Linked DNA regions of Notamacropus eugenii. The protein of the gene in region 2 interacts with the protein of the main gene of each other region in a biochemical or structural test. Links are inferred from orthologs where the notes say so. Each region holds a gene or a part of one and is shown on either strand. Other genes may lie near its edges.

What was found. The genes of interacting proteins can lie anywhere in the genome.
Region 1: the proteins of NMUR1 (region 2) and NMU form a complex in vitro, tested with the Homo sapiens proteins (2 studies listed by BioGRID). The link is inferred for Notamacropus eugenii from reciprocal best matches to the Homo sapiens genes NMUR1 and NMU.

Annotation. Positions count from the first base shown.
Region 1 is NC_092877.1:107,020,303-107,030,238, reverse strand, and holds the start of NMU (neuromedin-U), read left to right. Parts: upstream 1-5,537; 5' UTR 5,538-5,629; coding exon 5,630-5,768; intron 5,769-8,227; coding exon 8,228-8,286; intron 8,287-9,936.
Region 2 is NC_092873.1:58,533,507-58,544,150, forward strand, and holds the start of NMUR1 (neuromedin-U receptor 1), read left to right. Parts: upstream 1-5,918; 5' UTR 5,919-6,157; coding exon 6,158-6,211; intron 6,212-8,002; coding exon 8,003-8,140; intron 8,141-10,644. UniProt on the Homo sapiens protein: Receptor for the neuromedin-U and neuromedin-S neuropeptides.

The DNA of each region.
Region 1 (9,936 bases), on a different chromosome or scaffold from region 2:
GCTTTCATGGGCAAGCAGTCTGTGCTCTCATTTCCAGAGGTCAGTATTCCAAACAGCTTGAACCACCTTAACCAAAGCATCACCCCTTACTGATAAATTAATATCTTGCCAATGTTAGGGAGAAAGAGGCTTATTCAAGCAAAGTGTTACAAAGTGACAACCAAAACTGGCCCTAAGCAAAACCATAAACACAGTCTGCATCTTCGGTGTCCTTTTCTGTCATTTCACTACCATACTCTCAGGGCAGCTAGGCGGCACAGTGGATAGAATGCTTGGCCCAGGGTCAGGAAGACATCTTTCTGAGTTAAAATCTGGCCTCAGATACTTACTAGCTGTGTGACTCTAGGTAAGTCACTTAACCCTGTTTGCCTCAGTTTCCTCATCTGTAAAATAAGCTGGCAAAGAAAATGGCAAGCCACTTCAGCACCTTTGCAAAAAAACCCCTAAATGGGATCATGTAGAGAAGGACACAACTGAAAAACAATTCAACAATTCTGGAATACCCAGTCCTTTTGTCTTAAATTCAGAACATGGTGATATTGGAGCAAGTGCTAACCTGTAAACCTACTGCTTACCTTCTTGGGGTGTAAGTGTAGTTGACTGGAAAAGCATTGACTCTAAAGCCAGAAACCTTAGGTTCAAATCCTACTGCAACCATTTACTAGGTCTAGGACCTTGGGTAAGTCACTTTTTCTCCTGTTTCCTCAAATGTAAAATTAGAAACTGGAGTGGGTGATCTCTAAGGTCCCTTCTGGCTCTAGTTCTATGTTGTTTCCCTCCCAAAATCTTGATGATATAAATGTAGCTAGGGCAACTCATATCTCAAATGCTGCTAATGTCATCTAGTGGTGTTACTATATTATTCTCTTCTTAATCACATCACCTCTCCTTTGCATCCCTATACTGGTCCTGTGGTAGATTCTTCTACTGGTCTTGTGGTCATTGAATTTTTTCCTCTACTAGCTATTGAGATTAATCTCTCTTGAGCACTGTGGGATAGTGTATTTGGAGTTTGGAAGACTTGGTTTCAAATCCCCTATTGGACCATCTTAGCCATGTGACACTGGGAAAATCATTTCCCTTCTTTGTACTCTTAACTCCTTACTCATTGGATTACTTGGCTTCAGAGGTCTCCTCTAGCTCTAAATCTATAGTACTACATAATGTGATGACCTGTTGGATCTCTCAGCTCCTATGTAACCAGACATGTGACTTGATAGAGTAGGTTGAAATCTCTTTAGCCATTGATGAAGGTATGAGCCACCATAAACTCGTTGTTGTTGCTGCTACTCCTACTTCTCCTCCTCCTCCTTCTTCTTTTTCTTCTTCTTCTTCATGTTCTTCTTCTTCTCCTTCTGCCATGTACAGCTCTTCATGACCCAATTTGGGATTTTCCAGGCAAAGATACTAGAGTGGTTTGCCATTTCCTTCTCCAGCTCATTTTACAGATGAAGAAACTGACGCAAACAAGGTGAAGTTAGTTGACTATGGGAACAAGGCTAGTAAATGTCTGAGACCAAATTTGAACTCAGGTCTTCCTAACTTCTAACTTAGCACTCTATCCACTGCCACTTAGATTAGGGCCACCAAACAAAAGGTAGACCAGGTACCTCCAAGCTCAGATTCAATCTGTTTTTTGGATTTTCTCTTTCTGGTGCTGAGATCAATCATCCCAGACAACTCTCAGAGTTAGACATTCCTTGTAATTCCCATTTAACCTCTTAGAGAACCAAAACCCAGTTCCAGTGAACTTCCCAGAGAAATTCCATAGGAGCAGCATGTCTGGACAAAACCTACTTTTCTCCCAAGATCCTTTGCAGGGTGGTATGTAAATCAATAAGAGCAAGAAGACAGAGCAAAATCATTATCTTCCATTCTCCTAGCTTCTTTCCTACTTGTATTCTGTATGTCTATCAACAACAACAAATCAAAAGCAAAAACAAAACCAACCTTTATTTTGTGCTATGCTATTACAAATGAAAATGAAAGAAAAGGCATTTACCAAGTACTGACTATGTTGAAAGCACTCTGCTACATACTTGGAATAAAAAAAAGACAAGTGAAAAAACCCTCCTTTCAAGGAGTTCACATTATAATGGAGGAGGTTTAAGATGAGATTTAAGTTACATGAGATTTAAGTTACAAGTCAGAAAGAACTGAGCTACCATTGCAATATGGGATGCAAAAAAACCCTCTCATTTCTTCTTTTCGTCTTCAAAGTAATTCTAGAATGAAACTAACCATAGTCTTCCACATCTCTTTCTCCGAAGAAAAGGCAGCTCAGTAATATAGTCTTAGATATGAATGAAAAAGAAATCAGACTTGGGAAATATGTATTTGTATTATTTTTTAATGCCCTCTACAACCTGGCCCCAATGTATCATTTTAACCTCACTATGTCATACTCCCCTACCTACATTTTCTGGTCCACTCAAAATGGACCAGATGGCACTCCCTTCTATCATCTCCATGCCTTTACATTGGTCATTCTCTATGCATGGAAGGTACTTTTTACCTTTGCTTCCCAGAATCCCTCAGTTCCTTTGAGTCAAAGCTCTAATACCACTTTCTTTTTTTCTTAACAGTATTTTATTTTTTCCAATTACATGTAAAGATAGTTTTCAACATTCACTTTTGTAAAATTTTGAGTTCTAAATTTTTCTCTCTTTTCCCCTTCCCTCCTCCCTTCCCAAGATAGCAAACAATCTGATATAGGTTATACATGCACAGTCATGTTAAACATAATTCCACATTAATCATGGTGTGAAAGAAAAATCAGAACAAAAGGGAAAAACCATAAGAAAGAAAAAAGAAAAAAGTGAAAATAGTATGCTTCAATTTGCATTCAGAGTGTTCTTTCTCTAGATGTGGATAGCATTTTCCATCATGACTTTTTTGGAATTGTCTTGAATCATTGTATTGCTGAGAAGAGCTAAGTCTCTCGTAGTTAATCATCATACAGTGTTGCTATTGTTGTATACAATGTTCTCCTGGTTCTGCTCACTTCACTCAGCATCAGTTCATCTAAGTCTTTCCAGGTTTTTCTGAAGTCCTCCTGCTTATCAATAGTATTCCATTACCTTCATATACCACAACTTGTTCAACCATTCCTCAATTGATGGGCATCCCCACAATTTCCAATTCTTTACCATCACAAAAAGAGCTGCTATAAATATTTTTGTACATGTGGGTCCTTTCTCCTTTTTTATGATCTCTTTGGATTACAGACCTACTAGTAGTATTGCTGGATTAAAGGGTACACACAGTTTTACAGCCCTTTGGACATAGTTCCAAATTGCTCTCCAGAATGGTTGGATCAGTTCACAACCCTGCCAACAATGCAGCAGAGTTCTAATTTTCTCACATCTTCTCCAACATTTATCATTTTCCTTTTCTGTCATATTAGCCAATTCTGGTGGTAAATTGCTGCACTGTTTTTGCTAATATTTCATTTAAATTTTTGCATTAATATTCATATTCAATTAATACACTAATTTGTCTATAATTTTCTTTCTCTGTTTTGGTGTTTTCTGGTTTTGGCATCAGAACCACTTTGTGTCATAAAAGGAATGTGGTAGGACTTCACCTATTTTTTCAAATAGTTTATATAGTATCAGAATTCATTGTTCTTTAAATGTCTAGCACAACTTTTCACACAAAGTTTTTCCTAATCCCACCCCCTTCAAACTGCTACAGTCCTCCTTCCTTATCTTGAGTTTGTTTTTGTATTTAATCTCTCTATATATTTATATGTAAAATACACATTCATACAATACATATATATGTATACACACATACATATATATACATATTACATGTAGTACCCAATATTAAAGGTAAACTCCTTGAGAACTTGTATTGTCCAATTTTTTGTTTGTTTTTGTATCTACAGTACCTATGGCACTATAAATCTGATCAGTTCATTAATTACCTAATATGGGATTTTCAGTCTTTTTTCTTCTAGTCTTTTTCTTCACTTCCCACTAACTGCTCTCCTTGGTTTTGATTCATTTCCCTTTGCCAGGTACTCATGCTCTCCCCTCCCCAATTCTTCCTTTTCTGTATCATCTTCCCCCATTAAATTATGAACTTAAGGGCAGGGATTATTTTTCCTTTTTTATTTGCATCCCCAGCTCTTAGCATAATGCCTGGTGCATATTAAGTGATACATGTATATATGTATATATGTGTACATGTACATACACACACACAGACTGACTCTTTCTGAACCATAGGCATGACCAACTGCTAAGAATTCTTCTTTAATCTAAATTGAATTCAAATACTCATAAGAGTATAAACCCACAGTTTGTTACCACAAACTCAAGGTCCCATGATAGTCTTTTATGTCCTCTACAAGAAACAGAGTAGTCCCAGCCTGATTTTACTTCAAAACCCGAGCCTGAAGTCCTTGATAATATTTATCACTAAATTAACATTGTTTTACTATCAGTAGAACCAATCATATAAAATATAAGACACAACTGAAGTCTCTTTATCCTAGGATTCTACACAGAGTTTCCAGTGACAGAAAGTCTGTCTGACACAAATTCACTTTCCCAAGTGCCACCTGGAGTAGTCCAGTCTTGCTCAGATACTCTTCCCTAAGATTTCTAGAATCCTAAAATTCTAGAATTTTGAAGTTACAAGGGATCTCAAAGGCTATCTAATAGAAGCCCACCTCTGAAGAATGAGTATTTTTTCTTTCTTCTATTTTTTTTTGGGGGGGGGAAGCAATTTGGGTTAAGTGATTTGCCCAAGGCCACACAGCTAGTATGTGCCAAGTATATGAGGCCTTATTTGAACTCAGGTCCTCGTGACTCTATGCACGGTACTCTGTCCGCTGCACCACCAGCCCTGTGACTGCTTTTTCTTTAGTCCCATCACTTTCTCTTTAGTGCCCAATGTGTGAGGTGTCCAAGCCAAGGACAGCTGGAGAACTAATGACCTTTAAAGCTGGGAAAGAAGCAAGGAGTCTTCTATTGTCGTTTCCTGAACTATCCCCTGACTCCGTTTTCATAAGATCTTTCTAGTCTCTAAATTCTTACAGGAAATTGATTTGTTGTCACCACCAAGAATGGTTTACTATCATTGTGGATTTCTATTCCTACGGGAGTTAGAGATGGAAAAGTTGATAAAAAATTATTATTTTAATACAGATCTCTGCTTCTCAGAGGGGATTCAGAGGGGACAAAGGGAGGGGAGGGAAAAGAAATAGAGAAGAAAGGAGGAACCTCTTGAGTCAGAGTCAACTGTCAAGTGGGCTGCTTCGCCTAGAGAGGCAACTTGCCCTGGAGGGCCAGGTCAGACAGGACTCTGTCATACAGAACTGACGCATGGACAAGGGGCAGGAGGTGGAGGCGGAGGGAGGTGGAGAGGAGGCAGAAGGCTGGTGACGCGCGCCAAGAGGCTCAGAGCAGGCTCAGCCCACGGGTTCTGGAGATTTAAAAGTTTGGGGACAGAAGGGCTGTCAGATCGGCAGCTTCACAGTGGGAAGCAAAGAACAAGTGATCCCAGGACACTCGAGGCCACTAGGAGGGGCCTGTGAGGAACTTGGGGACCACATACGCGCTCGGCTGTAGAAATCGACAGCCCAACAAGCATCTCTGGGCAGCGAGAAAACTCAAGGATGCCCAGGGATCACAGCTGCCGTCAGCTGCCTCCTCTGACTGGCTACACCAGGGCTGAGAAACAGCTTTTGGGATGTGGACGTCCAGCTGCTCCCCTCCTCCTGCTGCTCCTCGCTTCCTGGGCATGCGTCTGCCAAGGTAAGGAACCTGCCTACCTCTTCTTTAAGTGCCTGTTCAGGTAGTCCAATCCTGGACCCGTTTAAGAGCCAGGAGGGCAGACTAGAGGAACTTAGGCACCCATTCGCTCCCCTCACAAACACCCTCTTCTTTACTCACGAAATCACCCTTCCTTTCCTTCTCTCCTTCAGCTTTCTTCTCTCCACTGTCCGTTGCTTCCCGGTTCCCTTTCTCTGGCTCCACTGATGGGTCCTGAAACTGCAGCTGGAAGGAATATCGGAGATGATTTTTTAGTCCAAACACAGATGAGGGCGAAGTTTAATTTAACCCGTCATTTGTCCTTACTTATGTAACCTTTAGTGGTCTGCGTGGCTATTTCTTCCTCCCATGCAGCTAGAGAACATGCTTTCTCGTTCGCTAGGATTTTCCTACATTTTCTTTTTTACCATCTCGGAGCTCTAGCGATATTTGACAACTCTCAGCTTGAATTTCCAGAGGAATAGTCCATTCGTTCAATTCAGCATTCACAGACGACCTTCTAACACATGCTTAAGGCACTGAATCCTCTCCATGTTTGAGAAGTATTTGCTGAGGCTACTTTAGTGTGGAATAAGATGACTGACAGCAGTGCGTGATACCTGAGCTCCACAAACACCTGTGCTCACAATCACAGCATTAGAGGGCGTGGTTTAGACCTCACACTAGGCTTTCGGTCTTGACAAGTGAAAGAATAACGGTTATTAGCCATTTGTTTGGAAGGGTGCGGAGGGAAGGAGTCGCAGGTGGCGGAATAGAGAAATTGTGTCATTGGGATCCCAGGTTCATGGATTGGAGCTGAAAGCAAGCTTAGAGTTCCTATCCTACAGCTCCTTCATTTTTCATGTGGAGAAACTGAGGTCCATGGATGTTAAATAACTTTCCCATGGTCACTCAAATGGTAAATGGAGAACAAAGAACCTTCGCCAGGGTCTCTGATTAGGCAAACTGGCGTACAGCGTTCTGATGACTGAAGCTGGGAGGTAACACAGGAAGTTTCATAGCTCACTGAACTGGTCTTACAGTCTGGCTTCCAGTCAAGGATTTTGCATTTGAATAGGTGTAGGACCTTGGACAAATTACTTGCCCCCTCTAAGATTCAATTTCTTCATCTGCAAAATGAAGATAATTCTTTTTGGATTATTTTACCAAGATAATTTCTGTATCAAATGAGGTTTTACATACATAAAGCTCTTTATAGTATTAAAACATCACATAAATGTTGATTATTATCATTAGCTAATCACTAATTAGTCCTAAGAGCAGAGGTTTACTGCTTTCTGGAAATCCTTGATACCTGATGGTCTAGAAACCCTTGGATCCTGAAATTTGTAAGGACAATTATAAAAGTACTTGGAGCACTCATTTTTAAAGGATATGGTATATATCTATATATCAGTAGCCGAGAGAGACAGACAGACAAAGAAATAGACAATAGATAGAGACAAAGAGTGAGTGATTTAGAAGCTAGAGAGCCAGACTTCACATAAAGACCTGGGTAATATTTCTACATCAGACCTATATGGTTTACATGAGCCTAAGCAATTCACTTAGCTTCTTAGTGCCCACAAAAATCTCTAAAATTATAAGTTGAAAAATCATGTTGTTTAGATCTGTTGCTAGGTAGATTTCCCTATTCCAAAGAAATCACAGGTTTGATTTCCTTAAAATCCATAATAAAATGTTGGAAGGAAATTATGAACTTTTCAATATATTTTATGAACAACAGAAATCTTTCCACCATGATTTTTATTTTACATGATTTGTGATGGAAATTTTAAAAATTTAATATAGAAGAGAAATTATTTTCTGGAGATATTCAAAGTAATTTTTTTTTATTTTAATGTAGTCATGGTAAAGAAACAGGATATACAGTGAAATGAACTCTAAACTGAAAGTTAGGAGACTGGCTTGATTCTCCCATTTTGTAGCAGTTGGATCTTCCATGAGTTCCAACCTCTCTAAGTATCAGTTTCCTCATTATTAAAATGGGGAAGGGAATTGAACTAGAACAGGGGTTCTTAACTTTAGATCCACAAAGGATCCCTGGATAGATTTCAGTATCCATGAACTTGGATGGGGAAAAAAATTACATCTGTATTTTCACTATCCTTAAATGAAATTTAGCATTTCCTTCAAATATTTTGAGAAGGTTTCACGAAGCTGCCAAAGGGTTTGACACAAAAAAATGTCAAGAACCATGGGCTGACTGGTATCTTTAGAATTTCTTTCAGCTTTGTATTATTTGAAGGTTAGCTAAAACCTTCATTCCTTTTAATTCTACAATGCTCTAGCCACTATCTTTCATTACTGTCAATTAGAAAATAGGTATTAGAATCCAAATACATAAAAATATAGAGGAATTATATGAGCTTAGAAGAATAGAATGAAAGGAGTTAAACTGGAAAGAATTGACTTTAAAACTAGTTTGCTTTTATTTCCAGGTGTTCCAGTATCACCTCTGGCAATACAGACAAACAAAGAGTTACAGCTATGGAACGAGGTAAAAGAAATTGTTATATCTTTTCTTCCTTTAAAGCTACTGTAGCTCAGATTTTAAAGACAAATTTGAATGTAATTATCCCCCCAGCTTAAAAATGAAAAACCAAAAAATGTAGCATTGTAACTGAGAATTGGAAATCTGTGATTTTCTGTTTTAATAAGTTTATACTTTTATGTTTACTTTACAATCATTTTGGAACCTATGTTCACACTTTCATTAAAACTCCTCTTATAACAAAGTTAATAATTAAGTAAAACATATGCAACAGTGACTATATCTGACAATACAATCAACATTCTGCCCTGACAAGTCCTTGTGCTATGACAAGGAATGAATGTTTTGTTATCTATTGTCCAGAATCATCGTTAACTTTTTCAATTATTCAAAGTTTGTCTTCCTTTAATGATCTTTCAATCAATTAATACTTTTAACATTTATATATTGTAAAAATATATATATATATACATACGTACATGTATGTATGTGTGTATTTGTGTGTGTGTGTGTGTGTGGCACAGTGGATAGAGTACCAGGCCTGGAATCAGGAATACTCCTCTTCCTAAGTTCAAATACAACCTCAGACACTTACAAACTGTGTAACCCTGTGCAAGGTTCTTAACCCTGTTTGCCTCAGTTTCCTTGTCTGCGAAATGAGCTGGAGAAGGAAATGGCAAATCACTCTGGTATCTTTGCCAAGAAAACCCAAATTGGAGTCACAAAGAGTTGGACATAACTGAAAAATGGCTAAGCAACAAGAATATAATATACATTATATAGATACACACACACACACATACACACACATATATGGAGAGAGAGAGAGAGAGAGAGAGAGAGAGAGAGAGAGAGAGAGAGAGAGAGAGAGAGAGAGAGAGAGAGAGAGAGAGTTCTGCTTATTTCCTTCTGGATCAGGTCCTATAAAGCTTCCCATGTTTCTCTGAATTCCTCCTGTTTGCCATTTCTTACTGTAAAATAATATTACATTACTTCTTAGAACATTGTTTTTTCAGTCGTTCCTCAACTGATGTGTACTCACTTTATTTCCAGTTCTTTGCTACCATGAATATTTTGGTATATATGGGACCTTTATCTTTAACTCCATTTGGGATATGTACCCAGTAGTGGGATCACTAGATCAGAAGATATGGAGAGTTTAGTCACTTCTCATATAATTCCAAATTGAAATCCAAAATATTTAGCCAATTCATAGTTACACCAATATCGTTTTACTGTGCTTGTCTTCCCATAGCACTGTCAATATTAAACTTTCCTATTTTCTATCATCTTTGTTGATTTGCAGGTTTGAGGTAAAATCTATGAATTATTTTAGTTTGTATTTACTTCACTATTAGTATTCCATAGCATTTTTTTCCAAATGGTTATTTATAGTTTGCAATTCTTTTGAAAATTAACTTACTAGATGATTTCTTTTATCCCATTTGACTTCAGAGTAATTTAATTTGGTATATGTTTGTGTCAATTCCTTTTATAACTTGGACATCATTCTTTTAACTGTTTGATGCATTTATTTTTCCCATTCTGCTGTTTCACTTCTGCCTTTATTGACTTTTGAGTGGTATGAAACTGAAATTGTCTAGTTTGCCTTTTATTATCTCTTCTGTTCCTTGTATGGTTAAGAACTTTCCCTTA
Region 2 (10,644 bases):
TATGGTCCTTTCTGGCTCTAATTCTTATGATCCCCACAGTAGCCCAGTGAGGGAGGGATTACTCTCCCATTTTACAGATGGCATTTAGCAGCATTAAGGAACATCCAGTTGGTCAGGGTGACAGATGTAGATATGAATCAGGGCAAAGTGCTGGGACTAGTCAGGGGTGTCTGGGTCATGAATTAGGAGAGGGTGGGCTGCAGAGTCTTTTTTGGAGGGCAAGGCAAGCACTTTAAAAAGAGAGCCCTGATGTGAGGGAAGGGACAACCAAGCAGCCACGGGAGGTCCTGCAGGGAGACGCTAAGATTAACCGCCCCCTCCTCTGGGAGTCCTTCACTCATGAGGGACCATGCACCCAGCATGAGTGTATTTCCCCAGAGATCCACTGGAGGGAATCTTCACCAATCTTCAGCCCTCCCACTCCCATTCCACCAGGCGGGAGCCAAGTTCAGAAAGAGTCTCCAAGGAGCCTTGATTAGGATCTCAAGTGACTTGCCCAGGGTCACACAGCTAGTAAATCCAGGTTTTGAGCCTAGGTCTTCTGACTTCTCCAAACCCCAGGGTTTTTCCACTGCACCACACTGTCTCAAACACCATCCCACCCACATATGAACAAGATGCCCTTCCACAACTGCTCTCCCCCAACCCCTAAGTGCTAGATGACTTTCAGTGTGTGTATGTGTGTAATGTGTGAGTACACATATGAGTGTGTGTGAGTACACATATGAGTATGTGTGCGTGTGCATGTGTGTGAGGAGACACTCACTATTTCTACTTGAGGACAGCTCTCTTCCTTCGACTCCCTCCCATCCTGCAGCTCTGCCCTCTGGCGCCAAACAGGAGTCTCTTCCACAGGATAGCCTCAGATTCCTGAAGACAGCAATTAAATCCCAGCCTCCCTCGATCTCCTGTTTTCCTGCTGGTGTTTAAAGCCTGCCCCAACTTGGCTTCACTCTCCTTTGCAGGCTTATTAGAGATTACTTCCCAACATATTGCCTTTCTTGCTGATAGATCCCATGCTCACCACATTCCATCTCCTGCCCCCATGACTTTGCCCCTCTCTTGTCCCTCCCTCCAGGACTGCCTTCCCTCCTCATTTCCTTCTCCTAGAATCCCCCCTCTCGGTTTCCTACAAAATTCCTGGAGCCTTTGCTGATGCCTCCTGGTGCTAGTGCGATCCTCCTGCAAGGATCAGCTTCAGTATTAACTTTGCACACACTCATTCTGCTCCCTGAGGAGAGAGGACATTTTGTGGTTGTCTGGACCTGCCCAGCATCCAGGACCATGTGTGGTACACAGGAGGTGCTTAATAAATACTCATTGAATGAAGGAATGAAAATCCTTTCAGATGATGTTTCCTGGGACTCAGTTCCCTCTTCTGTAAAACAATGGGGCAGCCAGCCCTGGCCCCTGGCTTTCAGTGGAGGAGTCTAGTGAAGGGACGAGGGGCTGAGCCCTCTCCAGTCTCCCTCATTTATTCCTTTACATTCCTCAACCTCACCCCACGTCCTCAGTGACTCAGAAACTAAGTCATCTGAAAGTGAGTTCGACACGATGCCAGGGGGGAGGGCAATGCCCCGGGAGGGCACGCCGGGGCAGCTCCCTACCCCCCCACTGCCCCACCCCCAGAGGAGGGGCCTGCCCTTACATTTCTGGTCCTGTGTTGTCCTCACAGGGCAAGGATTTAGGATCTTAGGAGCATTGCAAACTGGAAAGAACCTCCCTCCATAGCTAGCTGGCCCAACCCATTTTATGGAGGAGGAAACTGAGCCTCATCTGGGCTAAGAGGTTTAACCAAGGTAAATTCTCTGTCATTTATTAAATCCAAGGCTCTTTTTAATGCTCCACAAAGCTGGAATGAGGGCTAGAGCCAGTTTGGAGAGGGCTGACGGCCATTCTCAGAGAAGTACAAGTCGGTAAAGAAATTGAGAATCAATCACGTGAGAAGTCCCAAAGCTGGAGCAGGAAGCCACTTTAGATATGTCTTCATTTTTACAGATGGGGAGAACTGAGACCCAGAAAAGATCAGTGACTTATCCAGTCATACAGCTAATAAGTTTCTAAAGCAGGATTTGAATTTAGGCCTTGTTGACTCCAAGCCCAGCATTCTACCCACTGGGCTACCTAGCTCAATAGGAAAGAAAGAGAACTAGATCTGGGTTTGAATTCTGATTCTGTCATTTAATCCTTGTATGACCTTGGGAAAGTCATATCATCTCTGAGCCTCAGTTTCCCCATCTATAAAATGAAGGGGTTCCCTCTAGTTTTCAATCCGTGATTCTATGAGCAACAGAGAGCCCTGTCTGGGGCCAACCAAGAGTGATGCCATCCTGGGCACCTCCTAGTGACTACACTCTGAGCATGGCACCTCCACTCAGAGACTTTCAGCCTCCTTCTTTCTCCGTGAACATCTCCTGGTCACTGCCCAGACTGTATCTCAGCAGAAAGGGGTGATGAGGGGTGTGATAGCCCAGTCTGTCTTGCATGCACAACCAGATCTGATCAAATATCTCCCCGTTCAAAACTCAACTGTGCCTTCCCATTGCCTTCTGGATGAAATCTAAACTCCTTATTCTGACATTCGATGATGCCTCTAGGTTTGGCCCAAATCATCTCTCCAGCCTTATCTTTTCCATGAACCAAATGCTCAGTCCAAGCTGGAATATATGCCATGCCTGGTAAATACCACATGTTCATCTGTAAAATGGGTTCGACAATATTACTTCTCTTCCTTTTGGGGCAGCTGTGAGGCGCAAATGAGATAATCCCCTGGGAAACCTTAAAAACTAAATGAGCATTATGACTACAAACAGTTTACTTAACCTGTCTGAGACAGTTCCTTTTATTTTAAAAAAATCTTATTTATAATAATAATAACTAAGCTGCTATAGTGCACTGAAGTTTGCAAGGTACTCCAAGTAAGCTCTTTCATTTGATTTTCATAGCAACTCTGGGAAGCATGGGCTTTTATAATCCCCATTTTACAGATGAAGAAACTCAGATTAAAAGATAAAACAGACGCTCACATAGCTGGAGGCGTCTTAGGGACGATTTGAACTCAGAGCCCAGTGCTCTAGCCACTATACCAGCCAGCTAGCCACTTATTGCAAATTTAATAATCATTAACAAGCATTTCAATGTACAAAGAACTCAAAAAAAGAGGATTGTGTATCAAACTGAACTTTTAAGTATTTTCAGTTTTACAAAGTAGCAGCCAAATTGCCCTTCCTTGGAAGGCTTCGATGGCCATTTGGGGGGATGTTATAGAGGGAATTCCTTTTGTATGTGGATCCATCTGAGGTCCCTTCCAACATTTAAATTCTGTGATTCTTTGTCCCCTTCTAAACTCTGGGGGTTTTTCTGTGTATTTTTAAGTGTTCTATTATCTTAATTTTCTCATCTGAAAAATGGGAATAATTCTATCCTTTATTTGCCAGTTGTTGAGTTCAAATAAGATGATACATTGTAACCCTTAAAGCCTTGTTTGTTATCTGATGACGATGATGACAATAGTGATAATAATTCCCTGGCTCCCCCTCCGGCCCTTTCCCAGACCCTCTACTGCCTCCATTAGCCAGGTCTCTGTATTGCAGGGAAGGTTCAAAGGTGTCACTGGACAGTCACAAAGAACAAAACACTTCACTCTCAAACATCACTCGGGCACAGAAACGCCTCATCTCAGCTCTGGGAGGAGCCAACTTCTTGGTGCTGAGGGAGGCTCTGTCTTTACATGGAGAGGAAAGGTTCCTGTCCAAGGCAGAGCCTTGCTGGCACCCAAGGGCAGAGCAGAGAGATGGGTGGAGGATATAGGATCAGCTGGTAGCTGCTCCAGCATTGGACCCTTGCTCTACCCGATCCTGAGGCTGACCTGAGGGAGGTATCGTGGGCTCCAGGAGTCAGCAGACCTGGGTTCTGTTCAACACAAGGGCTGACAGATACATCAAGTCAAGCTGTAGGCCAGCCTTCCCTTGCTCAGGACATTGGATGAGACCTCTGAAGCAAGTCACTGCATCTCCCTAGATCTCTGTTTCTTCATCCGCAGGATGGGGGTGTTGGGAATTGGGAATCAAAAGGGTGCCCATCACCTGGGGAATGGCTGGACAATGGAATGGAATCCTGCGGTGCCATAAGAAATAATGAAAGAGACAGGTTTAGAGAAACCAGAGAACAGTCATGCCATGACCAGCCATGATTCCAGATGACCAATGATGAAGCACACTGCCCAGCTTGCAGGACAGGGGGCAGAGGGCGTAGCCACTCTGTCCACCAGAAAGAGCATAGTCCTGGCTGAGGGTGGGAGTCCTCGCTCTGCCTGTCTAGGTGACACCAGTGTAGAGGGTGATGATAATAACTCATCTTTTTCTCAGCACCTAGATCTCCTCCCATCTCCAGGCAGCAGTGCCTAAAAACCAAAAAATCATTAAGTGCTAAGTGCCCACGGTGTGCCTGGTACCAGGCATGCTAAGCTTTGGTGATACAAAGCAAAACTGTCCTGTCCTCAAGTAGATTAAGTTCTCATGGAGGAGATAACAGTCAATCAACAAGCACTTATTAAGCACCTACTGTGTGGGGGGTTCCCTGCCCCTATATTTACATATATCGGTATTTCCCTCTAGAGAATGAGAGGCAAGGAGTCTTTCCCACATTTCTTTGTATCCTCAGAAGCTCCTAACACAGTGAGTATCTGGTATATAACAGGTGCTCAATAAATGTTTGTTTGTTGACTGCCTTCAAGGATATTTCATTCTATCAAAGATCTGTACCTATACAAAGTCCCTGATATAAGGGAGGAAGGTGAGATTTCTTCTTTCCCAGATAAGTTGTTTTAGTCACAGATAATGAGCTTCTAATACGAATTCACAGGGCATTAAACTAAGTATAAGTTTGCTGCCACATGTGGTGACCCCTTTCAAATGTGACTCCCCTTTTGCTGACAGAATTAAAGGGAGCGATCTTACTGGGAAGAACACCTCAAAAGGTGTCAGGGTCTTCCGTAGCTAAGGCAGGAAAGCATTCCTGTAGGGAGCACAGGCTCAGAAAAGTATTGAGAAGGATATTTTCCTCTCCTTGCCCCATTCCCCACAGTGACTGTGGCCTCTAGAATGACTTGCCCAGAGGGAGATGTCCCACCCAGGAGACAAATCCAGGAATTCATTATTTTAGAGAGTTTGAGGCAGAAATTGAAGAAACAGAGGCACATATCCACAAGACAGCTGGTAGGAGAGAAGTGAGACACCTGCAGAGAGGAGAAGACATGGGAAAAAGAATCTAGGAACCAGAGCCATTGCAAATGGTGATCATTTAATATCATTTTTGGACTTTAATAAGGTCCAGAGCCTGACCTAACCAATCAGAAGAAGAGCCTAGATCTAACAGCCTCTTTGTTCTCTGAGTAAACTCAGAAAATACCTCTTCCTATGTCAATAAGGCCACATGGGGTTGACTTAAGAGCATTTTTCCTCTGTTTAAGGATGTGACCCTTAACCCGAGAAACTATCTTGAATAATGGGACTTTTCCGTATCTTAATATTTTTGGATACATACTATGTTATGGCATGTTAATGATAAAGAAAACACAGATATCCTGGGTCATAATTTAAACTGACACTTTGTCAACTTTCATTGTATTTACCACCTATTCAATTAAGAAAGTTCCTTTCTCATGGCATAATTAAAGACACATGGGGATTATAAATCTGAGGGACACAGACATCCTGGGATTGTCTTAAAACAGATTTAAGGCTGGTCATTTTGTATCAGACAGTCAAAATTTATGTTTTGGTTCCTTGTACGTATAGGTTAAACTAGCTTTGGCTAGCTGTGAGGAAATAAACAATATGAATTTACACGTCACCTAGTCTGTTTGCCTCTTTAACCAAGCTTTCAGGTTGACACTCTCAAAGGGAGATGCATGAATCTGTTGTTATTCAGTCATGTCTGACTCTCTGTGACCCCATTTGGGGTTTTCTTGGCAGAGATACTGCCATTTCCTTCTCCAGCTCATTTTACAGATAAGGAAACTGAGGCAAATGGGGTTAAGTGACTTGCCCGGGGTCACACAGCTAGTAAGAGTCTGAGGCTGGACCTGAGCTCACAAAGATGAAGCTTTCTGACTCCAGACCTGGGGCTCCATCCTCTGCACCACCTAGCAGTCTATATGAAGACTTTCCAAAGAAAGAAAAGACTTGGAGGCCTTGCAGTACCAAAACTTGTGAGTTGCCTTTTCTGTACACATATACACGTCTCTCCACTGTCTTGTTGTACTCAAAAGTTGAGCCTGCTCTTACCATGGATGCTGTGTGTATTTGTGGGAGAGTGTGCCCCAGGTTTATGGTAGAAATGTTTTACAGCTACTTTTTTTACTTTGCTGCCTTAATAAATATCTTTGCCAAGAGATAATTGTATCTACTGGCTTATTGTTAATGGAAAACATGCTAGTGGAGGCTCATGATCTATAAGACTTGAAGAGTTGGACAGAAGTGAGTGATTGAACAGCAAGGATTCTAAGGGTCAGAGGTCGGGAAGGAGAGGAGGGGGTCAGGAATGAAGGGGGAGGGGGAGATTGTGTAAAAACGTGGAGACAGGAGGCATAAAGTCATGTGTGAGAAGGTCAGTTTGGCTGTAGAGTGCAGCAAAGAGAGAAACACACAATAAAGCTAGAAAAGTAGGTTACAACCACGTTGTGCAAGGCTTCATGTGCCAAACAGTTTATATTTGTCCCCAGTGGTCATTGGGAGCCACTAGAGTTTCTTGAGGAGGAGAGTAACCTGTCAGATGTGCTTCAGGGAGATCATTTGGGGGCTTCATGGAAGATGGATTGAGGAAGGGAAATGGAATAGGAGGCAACTGAAATAGCTGAGATGAGATGGGAGGGGAAACAGAGCTAGAACAGGGACTGTGGTAGTGGAGGGAAGGGGTCAAATGGAAACAGAAGAGACGAACCTGAGTGATCCACTAGATATGAGCGAAGGGGAGCAGGGAGTCCTGGAAACCTTAGGAGAGACAGTAACGCCCATGACAGTAATGGGGACATTTATTTGAGCAGCAGACTTGAAGGGAAAGATAATGAGCTCTGCTTTGGCCATGGGAGGAAAGAAGAAGGCACTAAAGTCACAGGACCCAGGATGTTCCTACTCCTGAAGAGAATGATCAGGTCACAAACTAGTGGATGGCTTCAGAACCTGACAGGGCAGCCCAGTGGGCAAAGCAGGCATGTTGGCAGCAGAGGGTGCCTAGGTCCCCACAGGGGAAGGAGAGGAAGGAGACCATAAATTTATTCATTCAGCAAATATTGATCCATTGTTTCCTCTGTTCAAGGCATTGTGGGGAATAGCAGAGATCCAAGCCACCGTGGAAGCCCTCAGAGATATTAGAATCTGAGAGAGATAAGACATGTACAGGGCAGCTCGCGGTAAATTGTGTAGGAGTTCAGCAAGGTCTAGCCAAGACTGTTTCATTTAAGGAGATCACATACAAATGCAATTAAAGGCACTTCACAATCTACATGGCTAGGGGTAGTGGGGAACTATGAATAGAAGGCTAGAGTCAGGAAGACCTGAGTTCAAATCCTGCCTCAGGTCCTTACCAGCCTGATTCTGGGCAAGAATCTAAAAGGAACCTTATCCCCTCCCTATTTTACAGGTGAGGAAACTGAAGCATGGGAGGCTTACCTAGATATAGTGGAAGGGGAAAGGAGAGAGGAAGGGAAGGAGGAAAGGGTGGAAGGGGAGAGGAAGGAAGAAGAGGGAAGGGGAGAGGAGAGGAGGAGAAGAAGAGAGGGGAGGAGAAGAGGGGAGGGGAAGAGAGAGTTGTGTCACCCTCATTGCTAGTTGTGAGGGCAGCTGCTCACTTTTCCTTTCCTTCTCTTTCAGTATGAGAGCAACGGATCAAGAGAATTCCTTGATTTTAGTATTTAGGCCGTTGTTTGGAGGCAGCCATAGGACATTGGGATCTCCTACTGCCAGACTGACTGAAGATCCTTGTTCTCTCTTTCTTACCTAAGGGAGCAAGCTGGTCATCTCCTGGACTCTGGTTCTTCAGGATTCCAGCTTCTTTCCCCAACACCATCCTCTGTAGTGCAATAAGGAGGTGGAGTTTGAGTAAACAGTTTCTCCCTCTCTCCAGAAGGCACATGGCAATGGTGAGTATGTACTTACATGAGTTCTGAGAAGTGAGTTCAAGAACACTGCGTCCTATAGAGAGGGATGCAGAATTTTGAATTCTTTAGGCTATGTGACCTCAAATTTAGTTTAGCCCCAGTCTTAGGAATTTTCTTGTGGGCCACCCCAAAAGTCAAGAGTTTGTGGATCAGACCTAGAGAGAAAGGTTGCTCTTCAGTCATTTCAGTTGCGTCTGACTCTGTAACCCCATTTGGGATTTTCTTGGCAAAGATACTGCAGTGGTTTGCCATTTCCTTCTCCAGCTCATATGCCAGATGAGGAAACTGAGAGCAGGAGGATGGAGTGACTTTCCCAGGGTCACATTTGAACTCAGGTCCTCCTGACTCCAAACCTCTTGCTCTATCATAGTGCCACCTAGTGGCCCCAGAGAGAAAAACAGGGAGGAAGTTTTCCTGATGTGGTATGATACTTGGAAAAAGGAGAGCTGTCCACATAACATGGTCACTGCATAGTACCCTACTTAGACAGCAAAGTCAGTAAGCAACTTGGATTGCACAGTATTAGAGAAAGAGTAATCTTCATCCTGTCTCCACTTCCAACCCTCAAAAGTGGCATGAAATCTGGAAAGTTGGGGCTGTAATAAAAGCTAGTTGAGCTGGCAGGGGAGGGGAAATTCTAGACCTGTCCAGGCCCTTCCCTCTGTCACCACCATGCCAGGCTCCTCCGAGAACAATATTTCACCAGTTCATTCAGCCGTGACTGTCTGCTTTCTTCTCTTCTTTTGGTTTGAATTTCTGATTAAAAAAAACTCGGGGGAACCAGATATCTCCTTCCCAATGCCTTGAGGACTGAAGTATCCCTCAAGGCCCTGTCTTGAGCCCCCCTCCCTTTTAGTGACATCATGGACCCCCATGGGTTTAATTATTGTCTCCCACAGATGACTCTCAGTCCATAGATCCTACCCCCATCACCCTTTGAGCTCCAGTCTCATATCACTTGTTGAATTCCCACAACTGAATACCCCATAGGCATCTCACACCCAACATGTTTATTGCCTTAAAAGCAGACTTGGCATCATGGAGAGAGGACTTTGGTTTGAGCAAGGGGTCTATTACCTTAACATCTTTAAGCCTCAATCTTTTCCTTTTTAAAATGGGGTGGGTGGGAACTAGATAACACCCTCTCTAAGTCCTGAAGAAAGATGGTCTAAGAATAGGGTTGGGAGGATCCAGGAAGAGCTAATGGTGGGTAAACTCGGAAGCTTATCTTCTGGAATCATGTCCTAGGTCACGATGTACCCTGAAACAGCCCAGAGGATGTACCTAGCAGGTGTCCATGTACAAGCCAGCCAGCCCCCAGCATTCTAAGGGAGCAGTGACTCCAAAGGTGGCTTCCTCGCTGGAGTCCTATCTTTTACCCTCTCCCTGTGCTCCCTGGGGATCCGAGAGGTGCAAGAGCCAAGTCTAAAGTTTGGGTCCTAGCCCTGAATGCAGTCACTGAGACACCATTCTTCTGTCTCCCTATCTGAAAATGGGCACAATAATATCCATATAAATGTTGTATCAGAGGGCCTAGGAAAACCAGGATGGATTTTCTGGATCACTTTGCTCATAGCCCCCATCCAGGAAAACTGGAACAATGTATATACTAACCATGTTGCCTTGGACTAGTATCTTTCAAGGCTCAGCTCAAGGTCCCTACATGAAACCAGTCCTGATCTCCCAGTTGTGAGCACTCCTCCCCACAAAAATTACTGCGTCTTTCTTTGGATTATACTCTATTTATTTGTCTGGAATTGTTTTATTTCTCCAGTAGAATAGAAGCTTCTTGAAAGCAGGATTATTTCATTTTGTCTTTCGTTTTCCCTTCACCTCACCATGTCTGGGAACACTGGGAAAATGCTCATTGGATTGGAGAATTGACTAAAGGTTCCCCATCTGTCTTCGTACAAGGCTCCTGCCTGAGCCAGGTAGGGAGCAGGTCACTTTCTCCTTTCCTCCTTCTACTCCCTTCTCCCTCCTCCCCTCCTTCTCCTCCCCTCTTTCCTTCTCCCCTGCCCCTCTTTCTCCCACTTTCCCCTTCCTCCTTCTCCTCCTTTCATCCTCCTCTCCCCTCCTTCCTGTCCCTCTCCCTCCCTTCTCACCTCCCTCTCCTCCCTCCTTTCCTTCTCCCCTTCCCCTCTTTCTCCCATTCTCCCCTTCCTCCTTCTCCTCCTTTGTCCCCCTCCTCCTCTCCCTTCCTCCTCTCTCTCCCCCACCTCTCTCTGCCTGCCTTTCTACTGTTTTCCAAACTGTTTCCCAACTGCCTGTTCCTCAGCACACCGTTTGGCACATAGTAGAAACTTAATAAATGCTTGATAACAATATTCTTGGGAGATAAATTTCTCTCTTCGCGCATCAGATTTCTCCCTGAGTAAACCAAGGGAAACCTGGGCCCCCTATTTCCTTCAAAGAACCGGAAGGAAACTATTAGTAAACACAAAATATTTATGTAAAGGTGTAAGGCAAAGCTCCTTTTAGATGGT